Linked DNA regions of Tamandua tetradactyla. The protein of the gene in region 2 interacts with the protein of the main gene of each other region in a biochemical or structural test. Links are inferred from orthologs where the notes say so. Each region holds a gene or a part of one and is shown on either strand. Other genes may lie near its edges. The genes, in order: MITF and PIAS3.

Region 1 (12,453 bases), on a different chromosome or scaffold from region 2:
ACTGAGGACGAGCCATGCAGGCCACATGGCCCCACAGCCCAGAGGCGCCACTCCCTTTAAACTTTACACCAGCCCACTCAGTCTACATTCAGATTATGTCCTCCAAATCACCTGAAACTGCTGTACTGTAGTCCAGTAGCCTTGATTCTTGAAGACAATTATATAACTATATAGCTTTTACAATGTGACCGTGTGGCTGATGCCCCCTTTATCCAAGGTATGGACAGATGTGTAAAAAAACAAGGACAAAAAATAAATAAGTAATGGGGGGGGATAAGGGATAAAAAATATTGGGTACATTGCAATACTAGTGGTCAATGAGAGGGGTGGGGTAAGGGATATGGGATGTATAGGTTTTTCCTTTTGTCTCCTGATTTCTTTTTCTAGAGTGATACAAATGTTCTAAAACTGATCACGGTCATGAATATACAACTACATGATGTGTATACTTTGAGTGGATGTATGGTATGTGCAGATATCTCAATAAAAATATTTAAAAAATGAAAAGACAGGCTAGGACTTAATTGGCCCAATTAAAAAAAAAAAAGATTATGTCCTTCCCCAAGGTGTCTAATATTTTATTGAGTGCTATAGAGAAACATGTTTGAGGTATCACTCAATCTTCAAGACCAAACTCAAACACAGCTAATCTTGCGTAAAAATGCCTCCCAACATCCTTTTTCCTTTATTAAATTCCCACTGCTGATGTACACATCCCTACAGTGATCACACTCTGCCTTGTATGATTAGCTGGATCCAAGTGTTGTCTTTCGCTTACCCCACTGGGAGTTTTGGAAAAAAAGTACAGTATGATGCACCTTTGGATTTCCCACAATCATGCACAGTGCCTTCTACACAGCAGCAAAGACTAGGGGACAACAGTATGAAGCTGGAGCCAGACTGCCTGTTTGAATCCAGGTACCATCTACGTGCCATATTTCAGTTTCTTTATGTGTAAAATGAGAATAATAAAAGTACATATACTCAAGGTTGACATGAGAATTAAACGAGTTAATTAAGTAAAATACTTAGAACAATATTTGGCACATAGTAAGCCTGTGCCTGTTTTTAAAATAGAATGAGTATCATTAATATTTTATTATTAATATTACTTCATTGCAAAGATTAAGTTAACGCAAGTAAAAAACTCTACGAACAGGGTCTGACATACAATGTATGCTCAATAAATGTTAACTGTCATAATAAGTATTAATTTGCATATACTAGAACTCAATAAATGTGTGTCAAATATGAATTTTTAGGCACTGATGTCATGATGGCTATTTTTTTATCCAGCATAAAAGAAGTTTTACGGATTGGATCAAAAATAAAAATTACAGAATTCAATCTAAACATCCTCATTTGGAGGAAAGTAAAAAAGTTTACTAAAATTGAGGGAATTTTATTGCATAGGAAAACTGGACTTAGAGAACAATGTCATTTTCCAAAATGTCAGGACTCGTTGCTGAGTAGCAATGAAAATAACAAAAACAACAACAGCCAGTAACATTTACTGAGCACATACTATATAGCAGGCACTATGCTAAAACTATTCCACAGTCAGTGTGACAATTGATGGCCCTACGAATCCATATGCCAGATGAAAGAACTGAAATTAGAGGCCACCCAGCCTCTCCAAATTCTCCTAGCCAGACCCTAAGCACACAGCCAGCCAGAACCTTGCTCTTAATCTCTGTCTTAATCACTTCAGATTGGACCAGAAAAATCATGAGAAGTTTCAGAAACCAAAACAAGACTGACAGTTTTGTTTTGCCAAGAACAAAGTATTATTTCAAAAAGAAAGGATATTTTTAATATGAACAAAGAGGGTGAAATCTCAGAATAAATCTGAGAAATGGCAGGTAGCCTTACATCCAAATATGCGTGTGGTTATGACACAACAGTCTTTATCTTTCGCATTTCACCACAAATCTGTGAAAACCACACACCTCTCTATGAATCAGCATTTGGGAGCCACTGCTCTATCCTCTCTGGAATATTGCAAGCCTAATATTCATTTTTCATTCCCATTTCTGGCTTGCAGGAAGTTAAATAACAATTGTCTAAAGCAGCATTAAACATTTCAAAAGAGAAGAATTTGCGATTAAATATAGCCAATTCTGAAGACTGTCCAGGAAAAGGGCATCCGCAACGACAAAGCCATAGAGTTTAGCACTAAGAAAAACAAACCAAAGGACCATGAAGCTTAAAGATGCAACCACGTTTTAAAATGTTGTTTTAGGGCCCAAAAGATGATGCACAGGGTTCCTTAGCTGCCAGGAGTTCATTCAACAGCTCCAAATGTGTGTCCCTGAACGTGCCGACATGTCAGTTCTGGGTTCACTCTCCATAGTCTGCATTTTTCTTCTGTCATCCACCATTCAGAACTCATTTCCAGGAGATCACACGCAAACTTCAAAAACCTCACTGGGGGAACCAAAGTACAAGCAATTCTCCCTTAGAGGCTTTTCTCATAGCATGTGTCCTCACAGGACACAACCTCGCTAGTCAACAGGTCCAAAGCAGAGCTCACATAATCTAAATCCAGCACCCTCATGTCCCGAAAGTCCAGGAGGTCTGGGTTAGGAATGAAATACGCCTTTCCTCTTAAACATTTGATATCTGAGCTTAGCCCAGATAAACAGCATATAAAGTCCTCTTATGAGAGACCCAATGGATATCAATTTTAAAAGGAACACAATGTTGAATGTACAAAAAACAAAAAAAACAAAAACTTGTTATCCTGGGTGGAGTTACTAAAGGAGAAAGAAACAACATATTTAAATAACAAATATCTATTGAGCCCATTCTCTGTGCCAAGCATTGTTCTAGGCCTGTGGTTGTGAAACAGGAGCAATTACCTCCCGTTTTTGGCGGTCTGGAGATATTTTTGGTTGTCACGACTGGGGGGAATGGGTGCTACTAACCTCTAGTAAGGAAGAGCCTAGGGACTGCCGCTAAACATCCTACGATGCACAGGACAGACCCCCGGAACAAAAGCTTATCCAACCCAAACTGTCAATAGAGCTGAGACTGAAAAACTACACTCTGCGGCTACAGCAGTGAACAAGCAACACACAGAAATCCCTGTTCCCTTGGAGCTTGCATCTAGTGGAGAGAAACATAATAATCGTAACATATTAGAAAATTATATAGTAGGTTAGACTATAAGTACTACGGAAAATAACAGAGCAGCATAAGCAAGATTGAGAGTTTGGAGAAAGCAGTTGCAAACAGCAAGGTCGGCGCAGGCCTAAAAGGAATGACATTCACAGAAAAACTTGAAATTGGTGAGGGAGTGAGCACTGTGACTCTCTGAGGAAAGGACATTCCAGGCAGAGGGAACAGCAAATACAAAGTACAAAGACAGAGATGAAAGGGCCTGTGTTCCAGGAACGGCAAGGAAAACTGTAATAACAAATAAGGCCAGAGCTGACATGGAGCCTGACCATATATATAGCCTGTCTTATGCCATGTTAAGGACTTTGAGTCTATCTGAGAGAAACAAGGAGTCATTGGAAGAGTTTGAACAGAGAATGATAAGATCCTGCTTATGTTTTAACATAGGGTTTCTTACTCTAGGCACTACTGACATTTGGGGCTGATTAATTCTTTGTTGGGGACGGGGATGGGGTGCTGTGGGGAGGCGCTGCATTGTAGGACATCTAGCAGCATTCTTAGCCACTACCCACTAGAGGCCATTAACTCCCATATCCCCAGTAGTGACAACCAAAACTGTCTCCAGACTTTGTCAAATGTTCCCTGGGAGGCAAATCTGTCCCCGGGGGAAATCAGTTTTAACAGGAACATTGCGGCTGCTGTGTTGAAAATCCACTAAAAGCAGGTAAGGGCAGAAGGCAGTACACCAATTAAGGGACTCCTGCAAGAATCCAGGAGAGGGCTAATGGTGGTGAGGACCACGGGGTAGAAGAGGAGTTGGTGGAGAAGTGGGCAGATTCTAGGCATTTTCAACTCCTGGGGGAATCTGGAGATTCAGTCCGGAGAATACAATAATTGAGATAGACACAATGGCTACAGCAATGTTAATGTTTTAGTTTCAACATTTTTCCTGACCAAGACTTATAAGAAGTGAGGCACCCCAGCAAAGATTTAAGACAAAAAGCAATAACAAGATCCTGAACAACGTATAGCCCTTTCAAAGTGACACAACAGATGTCGATGACAATACGTTAGAAAACTGTGGAAAACAGTATAGGGAAATTTTGCCAACCCCATATATTTATTCGCAGATTTTATTTAACTGGTTTATTTCAAATAGCATGTGTCTGCTCCACACACAAGTTTTGCAACAACTTTTTTAATTTAGCCTTTCTCTCCATACCGGTTCTGTCCCACACCTGTTTCTAGCTTCAACGTGTGAAGCCATTTCTTCCCACATCCCCACAATTTTCTTTACACAAGCTAGCTAGCTACGATGATGTTCACCCTTACACATAAATTTCTGCCGACTCTGAAAAAGAACAGGCCCAAATCCTTCACCATGAGTTTCATGCCACTCATTTGTGTTTTTCCAGATGGCGTTTTCCTCACTCTCTCAAATTAATTTAATGTTATGTATCAGCTATCATCAAAAATGTTCCAAAGAGTCCAGTTAATTCATTTTTTTTTAGAACTCCCCCCACACACGCACGCATACTCCCTCATTGTGGCCATGTAAGCATTTGCTTATAGAAGCAAAAGCGGGGAGCGCTCGCTTGCTAAAACACTGGTCCCTTTAGGCAGATGCAGATAAAGCCCCAATGAGCATAAGCAACAATACCCTTTACACAATATAACCCAAAACCCCCAGCCCCCAACACACACAAAACAGCCATTATGAAGAGAAACCACCAACTAAAGGCTGGTTTTATCCTCCTAACTGCATAGGACATTTCCTTCCAATCTCCCGTAAGCATTTGCAAAGAGGCTGCTTCAGCATCTGCAAAACCAAGTACCAGAATGTGCTCTCCCAATGTGAAGGTTATACCTTCTCGCTCCTGATTTAGTTTCCCTTCCTCATTTACCCTGATTTCCAACTTTCTTCCCGGTCTACCAACCAGGCCCATTCACCCAGGCCCTACCCAGAGTTAAGGGCTGGACAGCAAGGTCTGAGATGAGCGCAGAAGCTCAATTAAAAGCTTCCAGTCTTATCACGCAATTGAGTTGGGGGAGGTGGAAATAAATTCTTCTCTGCTCTCATAGCCTCAACTGACCATACTTCCTCTCAGTAAACAACAGAAATGAGAGGTCCAAGGGGTCCGCAACAGCCACAGGGCATACAAAAAGGAAAATACCCAACCCATTCCAACTGGCAAGTGGTAATGGACATAGTAAAGGAGGGCGGCGCAAAGGAAGTGGGCATCAGAGGTGGTGAGAAGCCAGGCCAACCAGGTATCTTCACTCTCCTTCTGAAGTTTCTGAAGTCCACAGCAAAGTAAATGGGTGCTGGTGCCAGGCAGGAGACACCCCCACTATGTCCCAGGCCTAAGGCTTTTTGTTCTCCAGGGAAGGCCTGGATATGGACGAGACTTCCAGTGAGTTTAACCTAGACACGCCCACCTGCTGCCCCCAGCCTCTTTGGCTCTCTGCGCAGCGGATCAGGTAGGTGAGAGGCGGGGCCCCGGGAAAACTCTCCCAGACTCGCCAGGGGCGGGTTCCTCCGAGAGAGAGGCCAGTCTCCCTAAGAACCGACAAGCTAATTGCTTCCCCCGACCGTGGCGTCTCAATCTATCTCAAAATCTCCCTTTCCCAGCAATCGGCCCACGAGGATCTTCAGAAAAGGGTTTCACTAGAAACTGCACCCCCTCTTCACCCCCTTTCCCCGGAGCAGTGTCCCGACCCCGCGCTCCTCCTCCCCCACCTCCGTGCGGGTCTCTCCCCAGCCCCCAATTGGTTACAGCAGCTGACATCCCCTATCGAGGGTCCCCGTGACCCCCGTCGTCCCCGGCGACCCACGGCGCCCCTCAGAGTGCGCTCGCACCGATCCCCAGATGCGCACGGGCCGGGATGGCGCGGCCCCAGCTGCGAGGGGTAGTTCGCCCTCTGCCTGGGGGCAAGGGCACGGGGTCCTTGTCCGAGAGCCCGGGCAACTAGCTGTCTCTGGCCCAGGATGGGAGGCGCGGGACCCCCCAGCCGCCCGCCGTGCCTCCCTCCAGCTGTCACTACTCACCTGCTCTTCAGAGGCTGACTTTTGAGTTCGTAATAGGTTTTCGGCTCTTCGTGAAACTCCTCCCCGACTTCGAAATCCGGCACGATCCCGGATTCTGACTGCATGGCTCCCGTTTCTCGTCCTTCCACAGTTCGAAAGTAAGAACTGAGCCAGGGGGCTCAAGGAAGGTGGCAGGGCCTGGGTCCCCTGAGCGGTGCGCCCCGGCACAGTGCCAAGCTCAGCCCGCTTACCCGCGCGGCCGCCCGCCAGGGCTCTGTGAGTTTACACTCGCACTCGGGCGGGAGGGGCCGGCAGCCGAGCGCTGTCTGGGATCTGTAGTTCGACCCGGGTGGGGCATTCCGGCCTCGCGGAGGGAGCTGCTCCAGCTGAAACTACAGCTCCCACAAGGCCAGGCGGGTGGATAGGCAACGTGGTGGACACCGCTAGTGCAACTCCTGTTTGGATTCATTGTCAATGTCAGCAGCTCCTCTCCCTTTTCCCATTTGCTTCAAGGGTACATAATTGACTATTTTATATTAATAAGAACGGTTTCATCCCTGCTCTTCCACAGCTCAGACATGTGCGAGGAGACGTCAAAAAGTTTTGGCACTAGGAAGTTTTAGCGTTCAAGCTTGCCTTTAATAAAAGAACTTCCTATCAGCCCGCAGACTTCCATGGGCTGCTGCGACATGTCAACTTGTCCTCGGATTGGAACAGAGTGAGGAACTTTCACCTAGTAATTAAAGCATTATTGTAGAAATTGTTCTCATGCGTTCTTTTTTTTTTAGCTTGGTCTGGGCTTTTAGAATATTATTCATCTAGCTGTTTTCCTCTTTATCCAGTTATCCACTTATAATCTTAAAGCAGCACTTTTAAAGTCCGGTTGATTTAAGAAAGCACTAAGTTGCAAAACAGCGTTGGCGCTGTCTGTTTTTAATTTCTCCGTTGTCTGGGAACTCAAATGAGATCGTAATAACATTTCAAGAATAAAGTTGTGGGCTATATAAACCGTCCAAGTGTCAACCTCCTCCTGAACTTCTCTACACTCAGGTAACATTAAAAAAAAAATTTCAATCGATTACGGTTCATTTGTACTTTCAGCGCTTCCCTCTGAGTAGTTCTAGTAGGAGATGTTCCTTATTTTTAAAAGTGTTTTAATGCATTAGACAGGCAGTATAGAGTTAGAGGATGGCATCTAAAGTTAAAAAACCAGAATCAAATCCCAAGTCCTGCTCAGAAACACTGTGTGATCTTGGGCATGTCACTTGATTTTAGAAGCTTCAATTTCTTCTTCTATAAACGAGGAGATTTGCAAGAGAAAGTGATTTTGTAATCTATAAAAATAATACTCAGTGATCTTTCTTTCGTTCATTATATCTTGAAGACATTTATCTCAGTCTGGCATTTCACCTGTGTATTTCTCCTTTCAGAGGTAATGAGCTTATGATCATCATAGAACAAAACTGTAAAAAGTCTAGACTAATGATTGGTCATCTCCCAGGAGTTGCCCATTTGCCTGTTGTTGTTTTTTTTTTAATGCAATTTTATTGAGATATATTCACATACCATATAATGAGCCAAACTATACCGTCAGTGGTTCACAATATTATCATATAGTTGTGTACTCATCATCACACTTGATTTTTGAACAGTTTCATTACTCTATGAACAATAAAAATAGGAATAAAAATAAAAATGAAAAAGAACACCCAAAACATCCCATCTCCCCTATTATTTATTTATATTTTGTCTTTATTTTCTTACTCTCCTGTCCATACACTGGATAAAGAGAGTGTCAGTCACACAGTCACACCGTTAAAGTTATATAGTTATGCAGTCATCTTCAAGAATCAAGGCTACAGATTATAGTTCAGGCATTTCCCTCTAGCTACTCCAATACACCAAAAACTGAAAAGGGATATCTATAAGCGCATAAGAATAATCTTCAGAATGACCTCTTGCCTCTGTTTGAAATCACTCAGCCACCAAAACTTTATTTTGTTTCATTTCTCTTTCCCTTTTTGGCCTAGCAGTCTTTCTCAGTCCCATGATGCCAGGGCCAGGCTCATTCCTGGGAGTCAGGTCCCACATTGCCAGGGAGATTTATACCACTGGGAGTCATGTCCCACATAGGGATGAGAGCAGTAAATTTACCTGCAGAGTTAACAGAGAGTACCTGCTTTTTTTGTGTAATGAACATTTTAGCTTCAAATCAGAAAAGATCTCTAGGGATCTTAAGGAAATTTGGAAATAGTACAGAAGGTATACTGTATTGCAGTAGCGATTTCCAAATTCCCACAATAAAATTTGGTGCCCAAAGTACTACTTTTAGGTCCTTCACTATAACCATTAAAACATGACAGAATACTTCAAAGCACTCCTGAGGAAAATAGGCTTTTCATGCCCATGAATATGGGATCTCTGATTCTTTGAGAGACTCCTGGAAGTCAGATGTTGAAAGTGAAGAAGTGTTATCCCCTGCCAGAAGGAAGAAGAAGGAAAAACATGAAGGGTCCATTCAGTCTATCTGGACTCCTAGACTCACCTGGGGTCTCAACTCTAGACAGACATGTGGAATATGGGAGGAAGGGTTGATTGTCAAAATAACTTGGGGGTATCACAGGCATTCTAGTGGGATATGGGCCAGAAATGCTAAACATTTTGCGCACAATGACGAACTTTCTTGTTCAAATGTTAGTGGTACCCCCATTGAGAAATATTGTGGATTTCTTAATCTTTTGGCTCACTAGAAGCTTTTGAATCTGAGGAAAGCTATGCATCCTCTCTGGAGAAAACACAAATGTAAACAAAATTCTATACTTGATTTTGGTCTGTTGAATACTTGAAAGCTATCGAGAGCTTTGCATTAGAAGTGCAGCTTATAACCTCTTTAGAAGCATAATGAAACATTCCATTACGTCATTCATTATGTTGAACAGTGGCCTACCAGACCTAAGGAACAAGAGGTGATGGAGAAAAACCTGTCAAAAATGCTGAGACTTCCTGAATTTACCTCCAACTAGGGGCACCCTCCATAGAGATGCCTGGGGTGCAGGCTCTGAGGTTGTCTTGAGGCACACACAGATACCTGCTATTTCCCTCCATTTTTTTCCTCTGTTCAAGAAAACTTCTCCATTACATGTAGCAGGGGTTTCGATTGCAGTGCCATCTACCACCTAAGAGGAGTGGGCATGAGACTCCCACTGGCCAGTCAGAACTCCCCATTTCCTTAACCACATGATTCTTTTAGAGATGGACAGGTACCCAAACATTACCAGATGTCTTCCTTGGGACTTTTCTGCTAGGCAATTGGGGAAGCCTGTCTCTGGCTTTTGGAAGTATGGTGCTGGAAGGAAGAAAGCCTGGAACTATTTACTATGACCACATAAGGTAGCTAACCTAAAATGGGAAAGAATTAGATGAGATCCACAATCAAAGAGCAGCAGAAACAAGCTAAACTGAGTGTGCTGGTTTGAAAGGATGTATGCCCCCTAGAAAAGCCATATTTTAATCAAAATCCCATTCATAAAGGCAGAATAATCTCTATTCAATATTGTATGTTTGAAACTGTAATCAGATCATCTCCCTGGAAGATGTGATTTAGTCAAGAGTGGTCGTTAAACTGGATTAGGTGATGACATGTCTCCACCCATTTGGGTGGGTCTTGATTGGTTTATTGGAGTCCTATAAAAGAGGAAACATTTTGGAGCATGGGAGATTCAAAGAGAGCAGAGAATGCTACAGCACCACGAAGCAGAGAGTCCACCAGCCAGTGACCTTTGGAAATGAAGAAGGAAAACACCTCCCAGGGAGCTTCATGAAGCCAGAAGCCAGAAGAGAAAGCTAGCAGATGACGCCGGTTCGCCATGTGCCCTTCCAGCTGAGAGAGAAGCCCTGACTGTGTCGCCATGTGCCTTCTCACTTGAGAGAGAAACCCTAAACTTCATCGGCCTTCTTGAACCAAGGTATTTTTCCCTGGATGGATGTCTTTGGTTGGACATTTCTATAGACTTGCACTTGGAGCATTTTCTTGGCCTTAGAACTGTAAACTAGCAATTTATTAAATTCCCCTTTTTAAAAGCCATTCTATTTCTGGTATATTGCATTCCAGCAGCTAGCAAACTAGAACACTGAGAAATAAAGAGAAATTACTATAACATTGCTTCTACGCCTTGTTCCAACCATACCTGAAGTCAGATATCGCTCAACTTTTCAGATATATAGACCAAAACAAAATCCCTTTTGGCCGAAAATGTTTTTGTTGGAAATTTTGCCACTTGCAACCAAAAGAGCTTTGAGTACTTCGTATAAAAAACCTTTCACTCCTTGAAAGGAACATTTTTCTATGGACTGCCACACCGTCAATCCATGTAACAAAAAGCTGGTCACCTGATCGATAGCACCTGTAATCCCTCTTCATTAATGCATTGAACCCTAGGAGCAGGGCCACATCTGAAAACTGGTGAAGAAAAAAGTCCATAGCTCTATTCATTTCAACTGAGAACTGTGCCTATTAAAAGCACAAAAGGAACAGCTAGAAATTATAAGTATTTTCATTGGTAATATTATCTATATTTATGTTACACTTTTCTTTCTACAGAATGCTTTTCGCATTCATCTCTTATTTGAGCTCACAAAAATCCTGCGAGAATAGACACCAAAGGTCACTGTTTCATTATGCAATGAACATGTGCCCCATGTTCTGGACATGGCATTGTGTTAGGTACTCAAACTACTTCCTGCCCTTAAGAGGCTTACAGTCTATGAACTGAATGAAGACTGATAACACAGTGAAAAACTACACTTAAGGCAGGAAATGCTAAGCAGCACATAGATGGTAGATGATTCAAACTCTCATATCCATTTAGCTTACCCACTATTAATGGAGCACCTATTCTGTGCCAGGCACATTGTTTGTTAGATACGAGGGAAAAGGCAGTGATGAGACATATGTGGTCTCTGCATACAAGACATAATGTCTGTCTTTTCAGGAATAGGAGTGATCTAACAGATAAATAGAGTGAAAGGTAATGTCACAAATGTCTGAGAAAAAAGCAACCACTGAGGGCAAGGATAGTGAGGAAGAATTCTTGAAGGAGATGTAACTGAGCTAAATCTTTAAGAAGGGAGGGGGTAATTTAGTGGATAAAATCCTGTAAATAATCTAATCAAGTCACTAGACCCAACCAACAATTTAGAGGAAAAAATAATGATAGGGGGTTGCTAATGACACCCTGAAGATGAAATCAGACAAATCCAGAAATTGAGAAGCTCCTTTAAAAAATAAAAATGACATGAAGTAAAGGGAAAGGGAACTGTTATAGATTAAAAGAGATTTAAGAGGGGGCTGTGAGGGTAGCTCAGTGGTAGAATTCTCGCCTGCCATGCAGGACACCTGGGTTCGATTCCCACCCATGCACTTGCCAAACTAACAAACAAAGAAACCAACCAAAAAAACAAACAAAATTCAACAAATGATGCTACAATAATGGAATACTCACATGGAAAAAGAATGAAATGTGACCCCGCTATACAGCATACAAAAAAAAAGGAGATGTGAGAGACATGTCAGGTATGTGAATTACATCTCAGCAAAAAATGAACTGAAGAAAGAAAAGAGACATATCACCCAAATATATTGTGCAAACTTTGTATTCTGATTAAAACAAAACAACTTAATGCTTCATTTTTGGGAAAACTGGGAGAGTTTGAACATGAACTGAAATGATGATATTATAGAATTATTGTTAATTTTACTAAGTGTAATAATAGCATTGTACCATTTCTATTGGACCTTAAGTCTTTATCTGTTAGAGATAGAAACAATGTATTTGTGAGTGAGACAATAGGATATATGGACCCATCTCCTCTCCTTTCAACTCAGGAAATAGTAGGGGAAGGAAAAGATGAAACATAAATGGCAAAATGTGGATACTGGTTGAAGCTGAATGATGGGTAATGGAAGTTCACTGTATTATTCTCTCTGCTTTTGTGTATGTTTGAAATTTTCCGTTATGAAAAAAAAAAGCATGAGAAGAAACCACCTTAGTAAAAATGAGGCAGAATTTCTGATAAAATTATGTTGAAAAGCATGTCATTAAAAAAAAGAAAGAAAATGGACATGAGGAAGCTATGGAAGCAGGGTTGTACATGTTATGTTCTGAGAACAAAACTAACAGAAATTGTCTTTGGATGATTTAAGCAGAAAGGAATTTATGGAAAATATGTTGAATAGCTCACAGAATCTCAAGAAAGACCTGAGAATGAAGAAAGACCAGAACCTAGTGTAGAAGCCATGCAGCTAG
Region 2 (12,433 bases):
CAGGCCGTCCGGGCAGGCCACGTACCTTGGCCCTCGGCCCCTAGCGGGAAGGCAGGCGGGCACTCGGGCAGCGGGAGATGCGCCAGCAGCTCAGCGCCCAGCGCGCCCAGCGCAGGACAGCGCAGCACCGACGGCGGCCGCGGGCCCGCAGACACGGCCCTGCGCGAGAGGAGGGGCTGGGCCGCCGCAAGCACCTCGCCCGCCCCCGCCCCCGCCCCCGCCCTCAGACACCGCCCCCTCCCCAGCCTGTCTGCCCCCGACTCGTCCGCGGCCCCCGCCCCCGCCGCCCACCCTCCCACCCCCTGGCCGCGGTCCCCACCCTTTGCTGGCAGGCGGGGGCGGGACGGCGGCGGGGGGCACAGGACGGTGCTTCTTGGCCGGGGGCAGGTCCTCCTCCTCCGAGCTGTCAGTGGTCAGGTCGATGACCTCCACCTTCCTCCTGCTCCCGGGCGCGCTTCCCTCCAGCACGGGGCTGTGCTGGCGGCCTGGGGGGCAGGGGCCGGGCCTCAGAGAGGGGGCCACTCACGGCTCAGCTCAGCCGGGGGACAGGGGGTCACTCACCATCCAGCCCAAACCCTGGCGGGGGGCAAACCTCAGACGCCTCCTTCCTGGGCTTCATTGGGCACCAGGACCCATCCTCCCTGAACTGGATCTCATCACAGTCCGAGCAGGAGTCCAGGATCTCCACGAACAGGCTGGAGGGGACAAGGGCATCAGGGCCGGGAGGGGCCACAGCAGCCTCAGCTCTGCCGGCTCCCCGGGGTCTGGCGCCCTCATTCGCACAGCAGGACGCCATCCACCCACTGCCCTCCTGCTGTGCCCTTAAGCGTGTAAAAGAGCTCTGGAAACTGCTTTGGAAAAAAATGAAACAAAACATAAAGCCTGATGTGCCAAAGTGCTAGGCTTTAAAATGAATGCATGCTGGTGTATCATGGCCCTCGAGGTGGTGAGTTTACACACACACACACAACGCTGGTGTACTATCATCCTCCAGATGGTGTCTGCACACACACACTCACAGGTGGAGGATAGGGTGCGCGCTGGGTTCCCGTGAGGAGTATGTGCTGCACCCATCGTACGCAGGCACACGCACCTGTGCGAGGCAGCCGTGCCCAGCCGGGTGAGCAGAGCTACCTACCCGTCGATGATCAGAGCTTCATAGGGGGCCTTCTTGTCACACACGGGGCACGTCCAGGTGGGCTTCTTCTCGTTCATCTGCAGGTAGAGTGCAGCGTCGAAGCTCTGCAGGTGGGCGCAGGTGAGGGCGCGGCAGGGCACGGACAGGCGCATCTTCCCCAGCTGGAGGGCGGGGGTCCAGGTCAGCCTCGGCACCTGCGCAGCCCTGCCCCAGGTCCCCACGAGTCCCTGCTCACCGGGCACATTAGGGACACCCGCAGGCTGGTGGTGGCCACCTCACTGTCAGGGTCAGCGGTCAGTTTCTCCTTGACTGGAAGAGGAGCCAAGTCAGAGCAATGGAGTCAGCAAATGGACAGCGGGCCTGGAGAGGGACAGACGGCCGCGGGGCAGCCCGGGGGAGCTTAGGGCAGCACGCAGGGTCCTGATCAGGAGGAGACCCCCCCCTTACGGGTACATGGGCAGAGCTGGGGGACGCCTAGGCCGAGGTGACCTACAGGGGATCAGAGCGTCCCTAAGGGCCAGCTGAGACGGCCGCGAGGGCACGTGCCCGGCAGGCCTGGGTTTAGGGTCCATGAGGAGCTGCCGTAAGGCCGCAGGGCAGGGCAGGGTGAGGCGGGTGACAGCAAGTACGGGCCGAGAGGCGCCGTGGGGTCCAGGGTCAGGCCGCACGTCGCTCACTCAGCGCCCGCGAGTGGTCGGGGTTCCGCACGCCCTTGGCTCTGAGCTTCTGCAGCAATGTCCCCGCAGTCAGCTGCCGCACCAGGTGCACGGACAGGGAGTAGTTCTGCCCCGGGTGGCAGGAGAGCGGCCATCAGCCTCCGCGCTCCGCAAAGCCACCCGAGCCCCGTCAGGCAGACCCGGGGCTGAGACGGAGAAACCAGAGGGCGGGACGCACCCCCCAGCCAGGACATGGGGGCCCCTGCTGTGTGTGCCCAGCACCACCAAGCCTCCCCGGGCTCACCCGTCCAAACTCGGACGACCAGTTCACCACCACCGTGTTGGGGACAGTGGCTGAGAGCCGGGCCAGGCCAGTGATGTTGATGGGGCGGCTGGGTCTCTTGGGCTCAGCCCCGTTTTTGGTGGGCGGGAGGTAGCCCTGCGGAAGGACGGCGGGTCAGGGGAGGGTGGGCAGGCTGGGGTCCATCCAGGAAGGGGCTCTGCGCTAACACTAGACACAGCTTGTCTTGGGCCACCTGTCCCCTGGAAGGTGACCGGCCCGTGCACTGACCCCAGGCTGTGGGCTGTGGGAGGCAGAGCTCCACCACCGGGCAGAGGGACAGAAATCCTCCCCCCGTGCCTCGAGGCTGCAGGGCCCTGCATGGTGGGCCAAGGGAACCCCATGGACCCCACCCAGCCCCGTCCTGGCGCCCTCCCGGCAATGCCGACGGGCCCAGGAAACGGCGCCCACAGCGCACAGGCCTGTCTGATGTGTCTCCCTCTCACAGATGTCGCGACAGTAGGGCCATGGCCCCCTCCCCGCAGCCACCCTGACCCTGCTGGTGCAGTATACAGAGGCGAGCAGTCGGCACGTGCGGACGGGACGGGGAGGGGTTGCTGCCAGGGGAGCACTTACCGGCAGGGGACACAGCTTCCCGTTGACCTTCACAAAGAGGTTGGGAGGGAAATAGTCCTCCTGGGGGCAGCTGGTCTCGCAGAGACAGAACCTGGGGACAGGCGGGGAGGTGAAAGGGAGCCAGGTCTGTCACTGAACCTGGGAGAGACCAGGGAACCCCAGAAAATAGGTCATGTGGCCTCTGCAGCCTTGGCTCCCAGCTGCCCAGGGCTGGGGGACACAGGCTGGGCAGGAGTATGTCCTGGGCATGTATCCTGCCCCTGCACTCCCCCGGGCGTGTCCCACCCTCCGCAGGGCCAGGTGGGGCCGGGGCACTCACCTCAGCTGCACCTGGATGCTGTAATCACACTTGGCTCCCGGGAGAACCTCCCTGGAAGAGAGGGCGAGAGTCAGCCTGCGGCGCCTAGGGGCAGGGGCCAAGGGACGGGGCGTGGAGTTAGAAGTCCGGTTCCAGGAAGAGATACACAAGAGAGAGAGACAGCAGGGTCCAGAGGAGAGGAAAGAGGAAAAGGGCTGAGCCCGCCCCGAGGGGGAGGCCAGAGGGCCATACCTGGATGTGACGATCTGCTGCACCTGCTGGGGGGTGAGGGCAAAGGTGAAGTGCGCCTCCTCAAACCGCTGGCTGCACGTGGACGCTGGGGGCATGAGGGGCAGTTATCTCCAGGCCCGAGCACAGGCAGCGGACCCCTCGGGGCTGGAGCCTAGGACCAGGGGGCTGGGGGGCAGGGTGCCCTACCAAGGGTGCTGGGCCGGATGAGCTCTGCGTAGACCTCATAGAAGGGCAGCGGCTTCATGGTGACGTCGGGGTGCACAGGCTGGGGCGGAGGGGGGGGGATGTCCACCTCGTGCTTGGGGCCCAGCAGGGGGCCAGGGGCCAGGAGGGCAGGGGGCATGGGAGCCAGGGGCCCGGGGGAGCCCACAGGCGGGGTGCCAGGGGGCAGCGGGAGCAGGGGGAGGTCGGAGGACCCCAGGGCCTTGCGGGGAAAGCGGCGGCGGTAGAGCTCCTTGATCTTCATCTGGATGCTGGGGGCGCAGCTGGCCCTGAGCAGGAGCAGGGCCTTGGCCAGGAGCTCGTGCTTGCGCCCGCTCTTGTTGCGGCCGGCGAAGCCGAGGAGCACCTGGAGCTCGGACACCCGGAAACTCATCACCATGTGCTGCGGGGACAGAGGCCCTGAGATCGCCAGCCCGCGGGCCTGTCCCCTTGGGACACTGCGATGGCTCCTGGGTGGGCACTGCCACCTCCCTTCAGCCCTGACTCAAGGTCTGGCCACTGGCAGGCTGTGGCCGGCAGCTTGGCCAAGGGGATCGCTCAGTCCCAGGTCAGCAGCCCCCGCTCAACCCACCGTGCCGAACCAGCGTGAGGGGCCTTGTCACCCCAGACCTGGAAATGACCGGGGGGACGGGTGGCAGAGCCACTGCATGCCCCACCTCCAGCCTCTGCCCCTGAAGCTCCCCCTGAGCTGATGTCCCCCCTGCTGCTGCTCGGACTCTCAGACCCATCCCGGCCTCCTGGAAGGAGGCTGGAGACAGGGAGGAGGAGAGAGGGAACTCAGGCCCGAGAGCCCCGGAAGCCCCAGGAGGGGGGCCAGCAGCCGGACAGCTGCGCCCAGTACCCGTCCCCCTCAGTGACTGGCCCAGGGCTCTGAGCTTTGTAGTCAGGGCTTCAGGTCGGGAATCGATGCTCCCCCAAATCCTACCCCAGCAGAACCTGCTCTGAGAAACAGGATGAAACTTGGGGAGAGGGTCACAGTGAACCACAGGACCCAGTGACCTATTACTCCATCTGCCAGCAGCTATCGTCCTGCTTCTCTTGGGTGCCTTCCCTGTCCCCACCCTCAGGGGTACAAGAGGCCCCCGCAAAGCCCTAAACAGGCCCCGGGACCCTGAGAAAACACATGACACCCAAGCAGGAGCAAACTCACAAGCACCCGGTGGTAGGACCCCAACCCTGCTGGCACTTCCCAGGGGACCAACCCAAAGGGGAAAAACACAAAACCTGGAGGCCGACGGCTGGACCCAAGCTAGGTTTGGCTGGACCCAAGCTAAGGTTTGGCAAGCTGGCCTCCTCGGGGCGACCAGGCAGCACTAAGGGCTCTCTCCTTAAAGGACGCCTTCCCTGAGTCTCAAAGGGGCTCTCCACGGTTCCTCCATCCCGGGATGGCAGACGCAGGCCTGGGCCCCTTCGGGGAAATGTGCTGAGAACCGCGCTCCTGCCCCCTTCTCCCCAGCCTGCCCAGCTCGGTCCTGTTCGCCAAGCCCGTGGCCTCCCCTCCTCCCCGCCCACCCTCTGGGTCCTGGTCTCCGGGACGCTGCCGCCCCTCCGCCTACGGGCAGCTCCCAGGGCGCGGATCCGCCGAGCTCCTACCCGCGGTCCACATCCCCGAGGGGCCTCCCGAGGTCTGCCCCAGGCCACCCCGCACACCTCGTACCCGCGGGCCCTGCTCAGGCCCTCCCCGCTAGAGCCCGACTCCACGCTGCAGCCGGCCCGCGCTCGGCCCGCAGCGGCGCCCCGGGCCGCACCCCGCATATGCCCGAGGCCCCGGCCCCGCAGCGGCGCCCCCAGCTGCACCCCGCATCTGCCCGAGGCCCCGCCCCCCGCGCCCCGGCCCCGCAGCGGCGCCCCCGACCGCACCCCGCATCTGCCCGCGGCCCCGCCCCCCCGCGCCCCGGCCCCGCAGCGGCGCCCCCGACCGCACCCCGCATCTGCCCGCGGCCCCGCCCCCTGCGCCCCGGCCCCGCAGCGGCGCCCCCGGCCGCACTCCGCATCTGCCCGGGCCCCCGCAGCGGCGCCCCCCGCCCCTCCCCGCATCTGCCTGCGGCCCCGCCCCCTGCGCCCGGGCCCCGCAACGGCGCCCCCGGCCGCACCCCGCATCTGCCCGGGACCCCGCCCCCTGCGCCCCGGCCCCGCAACGGCGCCCCCGGCCGCACCCCACATCTGCCCGGGACCCCGCAGCGGCGCCCCCGGCCGCACCCCGCATCTGCCCGCGGCCCCGCCCCCTGCGCCCCGGCCCCGCAACGGCGCCCCCGGCCCCTCCCCGCATCTGCCCGCGGCCCCGCCCCCGGGCCGCGCCGCCGCCCGCCCGGCCCGCAGCCCTTCCCGCGCGCCCAGCAGCCCGCCGCGCCCCCGCCCCGCCCCCGCCCCGCAGCGGCGCCCGGCCTCGGCTGCCGCCCGGCTGGGCCCCACGGGGGGGAGGGGCCGCACCTTTAGCTCGCCCAGCTCCGCCATCTTGAGACATCGCCGAGCCCAGCCCGAGCTCAGGCCCAGGGACCGGCGCGCAACTCCCCGCCCCGGCGCCCGCCGCAGACGCCGCCCGCCCCGCCCCGCCCGCGCGGCTCCGCGCCTCCCCCCAGGCCCCGCCCGCGCGCCGACCGGCCCCGGCCCCGGCCCCTGCGGGTGCGCGCGACGGGCGGCCCGGGGGATCGCGGGGAAGGGCGCGCTGGGGGAGCGAGCCTGTCACCCCGGGGGAACCGGGGGCAGGGGGCAGGGGCAGGGGCTAGGGGAAGGGAAGGGGCAGGGGCGTTGGGGCAGGGGCGTTGGGGCGGCAGCTCGCCGGAAGGCGGAGAGGCAGCGGCAGAGGTGGGGCGAAGAGCCCGTAGCCAACGCCCCCGCCCGGGAGCCTCTGCTCCACAAGACGGCCGTCCGGCCCCGCGCCCCGGCCACGCTGCGGCCACGCTGCAGCCACGGACTCACACTCCGCAGCCAAAAAGTTGGCGCCGAGAACGGGACTTACCAGCTCGTCCGGAGCGGGCGGGGGCGGGGGGCGCCGCTCCCGCCGTAGGCAGGGCCGGGGCTCCGCGGGGCAGCTGGACGCGCGGCCACAGCCCGCAGCTCGGCCCGGCCCAGCGCGGGGCCAGGGGCCGCCCCTGCAGGGTCAGCGGGCCCGGGCCGCGCGAGGGGCCGGGCCCTGGGCTGGGCGGGGCCAGGGCGGGCTGTGGTGGGCCGGGCCCAGGCCTGGCGGGCGGGGCCGGGCCCTGGACTGGGCGGGGCCGGGGCGGGCTGTGGTGGGCCGGGCCTAGGCCTGGTGGGCGGGGCCTGGCCCTGGACTGGGCGGGGCCGGGGCGGGCTGTGGTGGGCCGGGCCTGGGCCGGGCCTAGGCCTGGTGGGCGGGGCCGGGGCGGGATGTGGTGGGCGGGGCCTAGGCCTGGCGGGCGGGGCCGGGCCTAGTGGGCGCTGCACTCGGGCACCAGGAGAGGTGGAAAGGTGGCGAGGCGGCTCTTCCATCTCCCCCTCTCGCCGTCTCTGGCCCCTCGCGCGCGGCCTTGCAGGGGCGGCCTTCCAGATGAGACGGGGCGGACGGGGTGCGACCGCAGGAACGCTTACTGCTTGGTGTGCTGCGCTCCCTCCGTCTGGAAACACCGGGTTTCCGAATTCACTGTGCCCGGCCCTAGGTCCACAACGCGTGCCCCCCTTACCCCCAGATACACACTTGGACACCAGAGACCCCACACCGAGGTGTAGCTGAGGGCGGGTCTTTCTGACCCTCTCTGAACCATCTCCTCTTCTTCCCCGAGGCCGGCCCCTTCGGAGGTCCCATTCTTAGCCCAGCTGGTAACTCCTGTGAAGGCCACAGAGCAAATCGGTGGAGCCAGAGACAGGGAAACTGAGGGCACTTTAGAGTTGGCCGGGGCCGAAGTCATGTTGCCATTGCGCTCAGTGACTATTTGAGTGGTGTTCAGGGTTTATTAGGTGCTGAGGACACAAAAGCCTTGCCAGAGAGACAAGACATGTTAAACCAGTCATCAGCAAGCAAGAAAAGCATTTCAGTGATGTATATGAGCAGCCCCTCATTCTGCTCAAGCCGCCAGTATATCCCTTCCTAGGAGCCCCTCCCCCAGCCATATGACCGAGGGGCAGCCTGCAATAGCCCTAGGGGCCTGCTGGACGCTGGTTGTGTCCTTGGGGGAGGTGTCCAGCCCCTCCTGACACGCGGGCTCCTTCCTTGGTCATGGGCCGCTCAAGCTAAATGCAGGCTAAGAATTTGCTTCTAAGTCCCAGCTGCCTTCCCCAACATGCAAGTCTTCACCTGGTCCTTTGCCCATTTTTGGTTTGGTCCAGTTCTTTACGTCAGAAACGTCTAAAGATCAGTATTTTCTAGAATTTCCAGTGGTTGCTGGAGGGGGCAGGACAGGGGAGCCTTTGGGAAGGATGGAACTGTTGTTGACCTTGATTATGGAGATGGTTTCACGGTTATAGGTTATACACATATGTCAAAACCATCAAATTGTACACTTTGGATAGCTATGGTTATTGTATGTCAATTCTACCGCAAAAATACTGCAAACGTTTAAAAGAAGGCTAGAAAGTCAACCTCACCTTGATTTCCAGGGATTTCATGACAAAAGCACCTCTCCTTTAAAGGTTAAGTTGAGGTTGTAAGTTCCACATCCCTACAGGATAAGGCAGCTGGGAGCCAGGCACCCGAATCAGGTCCTGCCTGCAATTCCACAGGTACAGACACCTTTTCCATGCTCTTCCTGCTGAACCCACTGCCTGGCAAGTGGTGGGCTCTTTAAATACCTGTGGACAAGCTAATGTCCCAGGGAAAGGAGAGAGGCTGCAAATCAGGTTCAAGTTCCAGATCACAGACATCAAAGACATAGTCCGAACCCCCTGATGGGGCTTCACCTCCAGGTCCCCTGCACTTCCCTTCACACTTTTACATCTGGGGACCGGCCTGGGCGGGGGGGTGGACCAGGAGTAATAATTCCCTACCAAGTTCCCTCAAACATCCATCCTGGGAGGAATAAGAGGAGACGTTAGGATTAGAATGACTTTGTGAGAGAAGGATTTTTGAAATCAAGGAAACTTCCAGGAGTTGTTGGATGGTAGAGAGGGAGTTTACGTGGGAAGATCGGAGGCTGGAGAAAGCCCTACCGTGGTGTTAGCGTAACCTCCCTCACCTCCCCACAGTCCAGACGCCCAGGCGTTAGCTTCCAGGGCCCGGGAAGGAGCCAGACGCCTGGCTTCCATTCCCTAAGCTGTTTCTTGACTCATACAGAAGTTTAGCCATTTCTCTGCGGTTTCTTCGTGCTTCCCACCCCATACCCCATGTAAAATAAGGAATATAACAGTGCTTTTGCATCCTTTGGTAACTCAGCAGTCAGGAAAGTAGAGGTTCTGTTCCCCTTATTAGAAGTGACCGGCCCCTTCTGATGCTTTTCCGGTGACAGCTGCACCCTTTCTCCCCTTCTCCAAATTCTAAGACTTTTCTTTCGGTCCACACCTCCTATCTTAGTTTATACGTTATCACATCTAACCATAACCATTTAACATGATTTCCAGCCGATCCGCCTCTCTCCGTTCTCCTGCCCCACCCACACAAACTCCCAAGCTGACCTGCACCTTTTCTAGAACCTGACCCACATACCCCAGCTCTTCTCTTCCTGGCCAAGCCCTGGAGGAGCCTCTGCAACCCTGGCATGGCCCATCCCCATGGCTGTCCCTCCCCTCCTCTCTCAACCCAGCCGCTCAGGCTCAGCTCCTGCACAGAATGGTCCAAAACTGAAGCCTCGGAGTAAAACTATTCAAAAAACAAGTTATTTTCCCACCACCTCACATAGTCCCTACCTCCCGTTTGCTTTCACCCTACTTTCCTGCTTGTCTCAGTCCCCACCTGGAGCTGGGGCTTCTAGAAGCTTGATTGGTAGAGAGGCGACGTGGTCTCTGCTGCCCTGAGGGGGCGCCCAGAGGGAGCAGGGGGCGGGCAGGGGGCACGTGGGAGGCGGGAGGGCTTGGGAGGGCGGAACTGCAATCCCATGTTGGAGGCCCTCGCTGCCTCCTCTCACTGGAGCCTGCCTCGTGGAGGGATGGGGAGGGGGGAACCCCTGGGGAAGGGACCAAAAGAGATTTGGTTTTACAGTCTGAGAACAGCACCGGAGAGAAGACGCCAACTCTTGGGGTCCCTTCCTCCCTTTCCCAGTACTCAGACTTGTCCCTCTTTGCACCTGGGGTGAAGACAGTGACTGTAAAAAATAAACTCTCAAGTCTAGACACATGGTCTCTCACAAAATAGAATAATTTTAGTTTGTACGTCTTGAAGAAAATCTACATCTCTCAATCCCTTAAAAAAGTTCATAGACTGTGTGATTGTGAAAACCTTGTGTCTGGCACTTTTATCCACCTTATTTACAGATGAGTAAAACATACGGATTAAAAATAAATAAATAATAGGGGGAAATGTTAAAATAAATTTAGTAGATTGAAATGCTAGTGAGCAATGAAAGGGAGTGGTAAAGGGTACGGTATGTAAGAATTTTTTTGTTTTCTCCTTATTTCTTTTTCTGAATTGATGCAAATGTTCTAAGAAATGATCATGATGATGAATATGCAACTATCATCAGCAAATATGTGATGATATTGTGAGTTATTGATTATATATCAAGAACAGAATAATCATATGGTAAGAATGTTGGTGTTTGTATGTTGTTATGTTTAATTAAAAAAAAAGAAAGATCACAGACTCGGAGTCCCAAAGTAGAGAAGAAGGATGGCACTGTGCTCGTAAGGGACAGATCTCAGACCAGAAGGGAAGTCCATCAAGCCCCATTTTTGCTGAGAACTCTGTTGTTCAAACTAGTGGGTGGATCGTGATGAACTTTTTTTTTTTTATAATAGCAGAAGATATAGGCTAGGATACAAATAGAATTAGAAATTATAAGGGTAAGTTTTATTTCAGATTCATACGAACAGGATGTAAAACATATTTCTTACTGTGGACTCTAATCATAGTTGGAAAGCCGCAAGAGACCATTTGTGATCAAAAGGGAATGACAAGACCCTTCCACGGTCCCCTCAGGACACAAAGAAACAACCCCCAGCACCGCCTGCCTCTTGCTCATTTTTCACAGAGCAGTTTCCAACCCCTCCTTTGTCCCATCCGTACTGATTCCCGGGTCCAGACTCTCGAGTCTGTGATTTCAGGTGATGCCCTGTCCCCGCTGACCTGGGGAGCGCCCCCGCCACCCCCCCTCCACCCCCACCACACTGGGGAGTGCCCCCCCATCCACCCCCAGGGAGCACCCTCCATCCATCTCTGGGGAGCATCAGCACCATCCGCCCCCCATCTGCCCCCCCCCCCCCGCCCTGGGGAGCGCCCCCACCTCCCATCTGCCCCAGCCTGGCGGGGCCTCGGGCAATTGGGGATGCTCCTGTTTCCTGAAAGAAGAAATTGGAGAATAAGATGCACAATTTCCACGTCTCCAGTCTCCTCCCGCCCATGCCGAGAAGCCAAGGGGATGCTCATCCCTCGGGGCTGGAGGAGACGACCCCCTGTGCGGGGGAGGAGAGTGGAGGGGGGTCAATGTCTGGACGCAGGTGTGGGCGTGAGGGGAGGCTCGGCAAACCGGGGACCAGTTCGCACTATTCTCCCACCATCACTCACCCCAGCACTGGGGAAGTCACCCAACCCCATCCCATGCGTCAGCCCCGCTCTGTCCACCTGCTCACCTGACCCTAATGCCCCCGTGCTTCCCTGGGTGTCCTCAACTGACCTCGCCTCACATGCCCATGGCCCCCGCAGCAGGCAGAGGCACAGGGACTGCAGTTCCCTTCCCCCGGGACATCTCCAAGTCCTTCCTCCCAAACCCCTTCCCCCCTCAGCCCACAACTCACAACAGAGGAATCCCACGCCCGCACCAGGTGGCTCAGTCCTCCTGCATGCTGAGGATTCGCAGCAAGATGTCGTACACGTCCCGCTCCATGCAGCCCTGGGGACGCCGGGAGGAAGGAACAGGAGGTGAAGGGCCGAGAATGGGGAGGACGAGGAGGAAGGGGTTCTAGGGCAGAGCAGAATGCCGTTCACGAGCTATGTGCCCGCCCTCACAGAAGTTAACTTCTCCATGACTGACGCCTTAGTGTCACAAGGAAAATAACGCTGCCCCCTTCCAGGGCTGCCGTGGGGGCCACACACTGCTGCCATGGACTGGCATGCAGGATGTAAAGCATACGAAGCACCTGGTACACAACAGGCATTTCATTCTTTGTGGTCATTCTTAGACCTGATAAAGGAGCGAGCCGCCCACCTCTGCTTCCTTGATGGGGGTGTGCTGACCTAGGACAGAACTCGGAACAGAAAGGAAAAGGTCTTGCTGTGGACCAGGGATTGAAAGGAAGGGTAAGCACCTCTCCCTGCACGGCCACGCGTGACCGCCCTGCCCTGCCTCGTGGCCCTGGACCACGGGAGGTGCAGCTGGCCGAGAAGTGACAGTGACACATGCGGAGAAAGACCAAGACCTTGCAGGGAACAGCCCAGCTCCCTGCCTGCCCCCGGTGCTGCGCCATGCTCACCCGAGCAGCGTTCAGGAGGTGAGTCCTGTAGGCAGATGTGATCTCCTCGTGGCTCTTCTGGGAGTCCTGGGGGGGGGGGGGGCATCAGTGGGAGGACAGGGGCCACCACCCACCCACACCCCAACCCCCTGAGCGTAAGGAGCAGTGGGAGGGGACAGCTGCCTGTCCCAGTGGTCCAATGGGCCCCTCTGGCCTGTCACTGGCCCCGCCAGACCCACTGCCCTCCTCCAGTCCACTGCAATGCCCAGAGCCGAGTCTCCCACCTGTGTCCCCTCACTGCCCCCCTCTCTGTCGGTGGCATACCCGCAGCTGCAGGGCGAGCTGGGCATTTTCTCCCCGAACTGTGAGGACCTCCTCTGACAGCTGCTCCAGCTTCTTCAACAATTCCTTGATCTGAGCCAAAAGGAGCAAATGGAACCCACAAGGCCATGTCATTT

Evidence for each region.
Region 1: the proteins of PIAS3 (region 2) and MITF form a complex in vitro, tested with the Homo sapiens proteins (2 studies listed by BioGRID). The link is inferred for Tamandua tetradactyla from reciprocal best matches to the Homo sapiens genes PIAS3 and MITF.

Annotation. Positions count from the first base shown.
Region 1 is NC_135341.1:14,358,279-14,370,731, forward strand, and holds the start of MITF (microphthalmia-associated transcription factor), read right to left. Parts: upstream 6,435-12,453; 5' UTR 6,274-6,434; coding exon 6,170-6,273; intron 1-6,169. UniProt on the Homo sapiens protein: Transcription factor that acts as a master regulator of melanocyte survival and differentiation as well as melanosome biogenesis.
Region 2 is NC_135330.1:1,344,063-1,356,495, forward strand, and holds the start of PIAS3 (E3 SUMO-protein ligase PIAS3), read right to left. Parts: upstream 6,017-12,433; 5' UTR 5,937-6,016; coding exon 5,913-5,936; intron 3,865-5,912; coding exon 3,447-3,864; intron 3,346-3,446; coding exon 3,261-3,345; intron 3,114-3,260; coding exon 3,030-3,113; intron 2,802-3,029; coding exon 2,711-2,801; intron 2,234-2,710; coding exon 2,099-2,233; intron 1,922-2,098; coding exon 1,816-1,921; intron 1,448-1,815; coding exon 1,374-1,447; intron 1,300-1,373; coding exon 1,139-1,299; intron 696-1,138; coding exon 562-695; intron 486-561; coding exon 320-485; intron 160-319; coding exon 26-159; intron 1-25. Other genes in the region: ANKRD35 (ankyrin repeat domain-containing protein 35), read right to left, coding at 11,354-11,416, 11,997-12,062, 12,300-12,389. UniProt on the Homo sapiens protein: Functions as an E3-type small ubiquitin-like modifier (SUMO) ligase, stabilizing the interaction between UBE2I and the substrate, and as a SUMO-tethering factor.